2 linked regions of the Rattus norvegicus genome follow. The protein of the gene in region 1 binds, or shares a complex with, the protein of each later gene. Links are inferred from orthologs where the notes say so. Each region holds a gene or a part of one and is shown on either strand. Other genes may lie near its edges.

The links. Proteins that work in one complex are often made in the same cells at the same time.
Region 2: Dlg4 (region 1) and Shisa6 share a complex: the UniProt entries of both Homo sapiens proteins name them as parts of the postsynaptic hippocampal AMPA-type glutamate receptor (AMPAR) complex. The link is inferred for Rattus norvegicus from reciprocal best matches to the Homo sapiens genes DLG4 and SHISA6.

The regions. Positions count from the first base shown.
Region 1 is NC_086028.1:55,256,731-55,260,383, reverse strand, and holds part of Dlg4 (disks large homolog 4), read right to left. Parts: intron 822-3,653; coding exon 526-821; intron 355-525; coding exon 252-354; intron 102-251; coding exon 1-101. UniProt on the Homo sapiens protein: Postsynaptic scaffolding protein that plays a critical role in synaptogenesis and synaptic plasticity by providing a platform for the postsynaptic clustering of crucial synaptic proteins.
Region 2 is NC_086028.1:51,404,514-51,408,166, forward strand, and holds part of Shisa6 (protein shisa-6 isoform 1 precursor), read right to left. Parts: intron 808-3,653; coding exon 655-807; intron 1-654. UniProt on the Homo sapiens protein: Involved in maintenance of high-frequency synaptic transmission at hippocampal CA3-CA1 synapses.

The sequences.
Region 1 (3,653 bases):
CCTCTTGGGGTTGCTTCGCAAGGATGCAGTCCCTGAGCCTAGGCTACTATTCATGAGCTGTTCCCGAAGATCATGGATCTTGGCCTCGAATCGACTATACTCTGAGAAAGGACAAGAAGTTTCTGGAACTCTGTCCCATCCTAATGCCACACCCCATCAACCCTCGCTCCACCCCTACTGAGACCATCCATCAGCTAAAGAGACAATGCTGAGGTCCACCTTAACCAAGACAGAAAACTTAGGCGTGGTACCTTCTGGTTTATACTGAGCGATGATCGTGACCGTCTGACCCGCATTCTTCAGGGCAATGGCAGCCTGTTCGTGACTGGCATTGCGGAGGTCAACACCATTGACCTAGAAAGGGGAGAAGATGCTATCACCTGGGATGGGAAGACAGTCATTCTTAGGAGTGAGTGGGTCAGGGAGTGGTCCAGCTGGACCAGGCTTGAGCCCATCCAGTCCCTCCCCAAGAGCAGAGAACTCCCTTTGGGGGGCAGTGCAGACCCTTGCACAGGCCTCTCTCACCGACAGGATCTGGTCCCCCTTCCGTAGCTCCCCACTGAGGTCGGCTGGACCCCCAGCAAGGATGAAGGAGATGAAGATGCCTTCACCATCCTCGCCGCCCACAATGTTGAAGCCCAGGCCGGTGGAGCCCCGATGGATCACGATCCGCCTTGGTTCCCGGGGAATGTCTTCCTCCCCCAGCAGGTCCTTGGCCACAGGGGAGTAGCGCCGAGGGGAAGTGGGGGTCATGGCTGTGGGGTAGTCAGTGCCCAAGTAGCTGCTATGACTGATCTCATTGTCCAGGTGCTGAGAATACGCTGAGGGCAGACAGGGCATGAGATGAAGATGTTGTGACCGTGGCACCCACCCATCTGTCCCCTCCAGAGGGAGCCCAGAGCCAGGTTCAGTCAAAGAGGAATTATTCTGCCAAAAAGGTATGTGGGTGACCCGCAGCAGGGGTCAGAAGTTTACAGATGACATCAAAGGGCAAGGGTTGGGAGGTCATATGTCTTTAGTATGCCAGGAATGGGGCCAACAGGAGGATATTGGCATCATGCTTTTGACTGCCTTTTGGTTAAAGTGTCTCTCAGGTCTCTCAATGCCCCTCCCTCTGCCCAGTCATTAGGGTTTTTTGTTGTTTTGTTGGGTGATTGTTTTTTTTTAAAACTGGGTCATTTGTCTAAAGTATTTCCCACATTCTATGAGCGATAATAGTCACTTGTTTCCCTGTGGTCTTGCTTAGCCTGTGCCCCATCTCTGCTCCCTTTTTGTTTCCCTGGGCTTGTCCCAGAGGCTTAGTAGGCTCAAATTCAATATGAAACGTTCACCCAGCAAGGGGCGAACTGTGCCTGCCACAGGACGCAGTGACGTCTGCTGGGTGTGGTACCCACACTTTAGATCCACTGGGACAGTAGAACCCCAAGTTTCAGGCCAGCCGGGGCTATGTAGTAAGACCTTGTCTCAAAAGAAATGGGGAAGTGTGAGCTGACTGCCTGTCTTTCTAGGACTGTCAGGTTCTGGGGTCATCATCTGACCTGCTCGTTACAATACCCTTCTACCAGAGTCCTTATGGGCATTCAGGGTGGTGTCTAAGGTTGGTGTTCACAGGGACTGCAAAGTGTTAATGTTGTACAATCATTAATAAGATTTTTACAAAGGACTCTCCTACCTGCTGAGTGTTGTGTTCGAGCCTACTATCCCACTGAGGAGGACAGGACGGCACTGAAGGCTAGTGCGGGTTACATGGTGACTTTGACGCTATCTTGGGCTATATAATGAGACCCTATCTCAAAACAAAAACGGTAAGAAAACAGACCCACACACGCACCAGAATTGCTGCCTGGCAACCTTGAGCTGACTCTGTGATGAGCGTACACAGTTGTGGGAGCAGATGACTGAGCCTCTCCCTTATTTACATTTCCATGAAGAAATGGCCTGTCTCTAGGTGTTCCAGCATTCTCCAAGGGTAACAAGGGGAAATGCTGCCGTGAAGATGGGACCCCAGGTCTTGCTCAACCTGTACGTCCACCACATGATGGCTCCCCAGCCTGAGTCCATTTGACCAAGTTTGGTTTTGGTTTTACTTTCAAGTCTCCCACTTTCAAGGATCTCACTATGTTGCTTACGCCTTCGCTGAACTTGATCCTCCTACTTCACTTTTGAGTACCTGTGTCCATCGCCATGCGGTACATCTGCTGCCATGCCTGATACCCAATTGTTTTCAAAGGTATTATTCTGGGGGCTGGAGAGATGGCTCAGCGGTTAAGAGCACTGACTGCTCTTCCAGAGGTCTTGAGTTCAATTCCCAGCAACCACATGGTGGCTCACAACCATCTGTAATACCCTATTCTGGTGTGTCTGGTGTACTCATATCCATTAAATAATATTTAAAAAAAATAAAGGTATTATTCTGACCTCATGTGTTTGCATATAAAATAAATTATGTAAGGCCAGAAAAATCCTCTTCAACAAGACTGCTGTGACACTAATAATCCTGGGCCCCTTCCTGGCCCTCTAGTATGACTTACACATTTACGTATTTGTTTCTGGCTTGGTTATTTGGTGGTGGTGATGTGTGTGTGTGTGTGTGTGTGTGTGTGCGCGCGCGCGCGCACAAGCATGGAGGCCAAAGGCTGACTTCAAGGGTCTTCCCAAAATCATTCTCCATCTTAATTTTTATTTGTTTGTTCATTCGTTTGTTTGTTTATATACAGGATTTCACCACCTACCTCCGGTTGTCCTAGAACTCACTATGTAGACCAGGCTATCCCTGAACTCACAGAGCTCCACTGACATTTGCCTCCCCAGTGTTGGGATTAAATGCGTGTATCACAATGCCCAGCTCCACCTTACTTTTTAAGACATGGTCTCTAGCTGGATTTAGAACTCACAGACTAGGCTAACTGGGCAGTAAATTCCAGGAACCCATCTGTCTCTGCACACCCCTCAGAGTCAGGATGGAAGTCATGCATCACAGCACCCAGCTTTCTGTGAGTGTTAGAGAGCAAGACTCTGGTCCCATCTCCCCAGCCCTATTTTAAAACAAACAAACGAAAAAGGGAGGGAGGAAGGAAGGAAGGGAGGGAGGGGCCTCGGGGCTGGAGAGATGGCTCCGTGGTTAAGAGCACTGACTGCTCTTCCAGAGGTCCTCAGTTCAATTCTCACAACCATCTGTAATGAGATCTGATGCCCTCTTCTGGTGTGTCTGAAGACAGCTACAGTGTACTCATAATTAATTAATTTAAAAAGAAACATGGCCTCATATAGCCTAGGCTAGCCTTAAACACACTGTGTAGTCTTGAATTTCTGATCCTTCACCTCCTCCTCCTCCTCCTGATCACCAAGAGCATGTGTATACTTCGTGTATACTGGAAAAGCACTCCACCCACTAAACACATCCCCAGCCATTTTTTGAGGCAGGTTCTATGTAGCCCAGGTTTCCCTTAAAATCTCAATCCCCCTACATTAGCCTCCCAAACCTTGTGATTACCAGTACATTCTACCCCTCCTGCCTCTTGTGCTTCTTGCCAAGACTGGAAACCATCCCTTTCCCCAAGGAACTCAAGTTAATTTTGGTAAGTTCAGAACTAGTACCAGAGGCTGGATGGTGATGGCGCACACCTTTAGTCCTGGAACTATGGAGGCAGAGG
Region 2 (3,653 bases), about 3.9 Mb from region 1:
GAGGGAGAGGGGGAGGGGGAGGGGGAGAGGGAGAGGGAGAGGGAGAGAGAGAGAGAGAGAGAGAGAGAGAGAGAGAGAGAGAGAGAGAGAAATACACAGGTAGAGGTGTTGACTCATTTGTAGGGAAATGAGAGCAGGCTACACAGATCAGGTCAGTGAAGAAAAATGTCCCTAAATATACTTTCTGACATTTTAGTGTGTTAAACCCACCAATGTGAACACCCATTTCAGACTCAAATAGCAGAGGTGGATGCCTGGATAAAGCAGGCTTCAGGCCCTTGAGATGGTCTTGGCTGGGATAGAATGGTTCTTTTGGCCCTTGCTGCCTCAATTACAGGAAATGACACAGTTAGGCTCATGGTTTGAAGAAGCCCCCCTTTGAGCTGACATATGAATGGTAAGTACAGCTTGTAAAGATAGATAAGGTGGCCTCAGGGCCCTATAGCATCATTCTTCACTGGGAAAAGGGTGGGCTTAGGACCAATAGAACAAAAGAAAAGTTTCTGTCTATTCTCTTTATCCTCTGTACAACTCACTCCTTCGCTCTTGGGATTCCATAATTAGTCCCTTGGATACTCCAAAAGAGAGTGCCATGGAAGAGAATAACCTGGAGACCCTTGAAACAGCCCGACACTCCAGCCAGCCTTGACTTACTTAGCCTCTTCAGAGATGAGTACTTGCTCGGATTTGTCTTCACTGCAGATTCATATGATGGAGGCAAATGGGCTAAGTTCTGGTAAGAGCGCGAGAAGGAGAGGTCATAGGGCTCTGTGGCTGATGTCAGGATGTTATTCATCCGTGGCTTCTCTGAAAAGCAAGGGCATGGCATCAGTGAACAGAAAGGCAGTGTGGCCAAGTTTTCTCTCATCTTTCTGCTCCACCCCTGACTAGAGTCCCCATCCTGCTTTCCTATGCTAGGATCCAGTGGGGACAGTTCTCAAGGTGTTGTCTTAGGTGCCTCAGGCTCCTGTGAATATTGATTAGTCCCTGAGGACTCAATTGTAACACTCAGCAGCGATGTCTTCTTCCAGTGCATCGCTGGTCTGTCTGATGAAACTGAACCACGTGCACTGAAAGAGCATTGTCCTAGCTAGCCTTTTGGCCACTTGACACAGGCTAGAGTCCCATGGGAAGAGGAACTGCAGTTGCGAAGATGCCCCCATCAGCTTGCCTGTAGGTAAGTCTGTGTGGGCATTTTCTTGATTAATGATTTATGTAGGAAGGCCTGTCTCACTAGGAACAGTGCCCCCTTGGGACCATCACCCTACATGGTTTAGGAAAGCAGGCTGAGCAAGCCATGAAGGAGAAGCCAGTAAGCAGTACTCCTCTATGGCTTCTGTTTCAATTCTTGCTCCAGGTTCTTCCTCTATTTCCTCTCCTGACTTCCTTCCCCTATCCTCTCCCCCTTTCCCCTGCTTCTATGAGGGAGCACCCCACCTACTCACTCCTGCCTCACTGCCCTAGCACTCCCCTATGCTGGGGTATTGAGCCTGCACAGTACTAACAGCAATCCACATTCAATCCATGGTGCCATGCATCTCCAGGGGAGTTCCCTTAGGTCTTTCTAGTCTCCATGTTTGGCAAGTCTCTGTGAGCTACACAGCTACCACTGTTTGCTTACTTTCAGTCCTTTCTCAGAGACTGCCTTAGGAATTTCTAAGCTCCCAGAAGGAGAAACTTGAGCAAAATCTGCCTATCATACTTTTTTCTTTTCTCCCACTTTCCCTAAGATAGACCCCAAGATTCCAGACACACAACAGAGTATGGTTCATTGCTAGGTCCAGGGGAAGAGTCAAGAAAGGAATAGAGATTTGTGTGAGTGGTCACCAGAGTGGATAAATGATGATGGCATACTCAGGGTGAGTGGTATCTGGAGGAAAGATTAAAGATAAACACAAGACAGGAGTAAAGGATGGGTAAGGGAACGGTGAGCATCAGGATCTGAAGGAAATGGAGGTTCAGGGAAAGGAAACAAAATGCCCCAATACTTGATTGACTTGAGAAGGAGGAACCATAAAAAGGAAGTCAACAGTTGGTTTCCGGGGAGATAGTGATACCATTTCCACAAATGAGTAGGGAAACAGCAGTCTGGCTGTACCATCTATCCATCCTCTTTGTCTGGAACCCCTCAAAGCCATAGTTTCTCTGAGAAGGGGCAGCCCCAAGCTGGGATCAATGTGTAGGTGAATTGTAGTTTCCTATACCTCTTGGCAGAGACTGCTGCATTACAGACTGCAAGAATTCTGTTGTCCCTGGGAGAAAGAGTCACCTTCCTAGGCTGTATCCAAGGCTTGCCCCAGGCATGGGAACTCCTGGCTTCTCTCCCCTCCCCTGCCTGCATTGTCACCCCCAGATCTGGGGATTGAGCCAGGGGATTTCAGCCAATAAGCTGGTGTTTGTGCCAGCTTCGTACATATGTGAGGGGGTGAGGGATGCTCTGTATCCCAAGAGATCAGAACATGCTGTACAGAGCAAGCCTCCCTGGCATGGACTAGGACAGATGCCAGGAAGTGGAGTGGGCCTGGCGCTGCGAGTGCTGCTCCCTAGACTTGCTTAGCCACGGATCCACTACTTCTTGTTTCTTCAGTTCTCACCACGCTGGGGAAGAACAGGGTTCCTTCTGAGTCTTGGCATCTTTCTGCCACTGAGGTCATTGCTCCGTTCTCCCTCTTCCAAACGCAGTAGGTTTATATGCTGTCATCTACCACTTATTCTGAAATTACCACTGAGCCAAGAACATTCTGCCTTTTGTCCTGACTGTGGCTGCCTAAGAACCCCTCGATCAAGATTGTTTTTGTTTGGGATGCCGTGCTTTATTTTTTCCTTCCTTGACCACATTCTTCCTTAACTAAAGGCTTTGACTGTGACCTTGTTACATTTTGTCAGTCCTCAGTGATATCGGCTCTTCTACCTAAGCCCCCCACCCCCCAATTTACTCAGTGACACTCAGTCTCTTACTAATTTCTAATGATTTGATATGACTTGATTTTGGTCATCCCAAATGACTTCAAAGATCTTGGCATCAGTAGACAAGCTTTCTAATATTTCTGGTTTCTCTCCAATAATAATGGCACAAACTAAGGCTCTAGTTAATGTTTTTTGGGTTGACCAAGTAGCTGTGGGTCTTTCTGGACTTCCCAGTAGTTCTAATTATTCTCTGGTGTTGGGGGAAAGCGTATTAGACAAGAAAGGAATGAGCTCTGCTTCAAATATTCTGCAAGCTGCTTGAGAACTGACATTGGGGCTCCATCTATCCCCATCTCCTTGTACCAGCTGGAAGTGAGGAGACAGGAAGAGGTGGAGTAGGGAACAGCCCTTCTGTTTGTGCTCGATGCCTGTAGTGGCTCTTCCTGAGGAGGCTCAGCTCAGTAGTTGTTCTTTCCTGAATGTTACTGAACAAGTGCAAGCGTTCCTGGTCTGCCTTTTCTGACTCTTCTTCCTACTCACTAATCCCCACAGCATCTCCCAGACTCTCTGCCTCTGCCTTCTATTTCCCCTCTGAAGAATTCTTGCACAGATAGTTCCCACTTTCAAGCCTTCTGTTACTCCCTTCAAAGACTAATGAAATCATCTCTGACTCCAACCTCAAACTACCTAGGGAACATTTTTTTCTTCTATCTTCTACAGTCATAGCATATTCTATAATTCAGAAT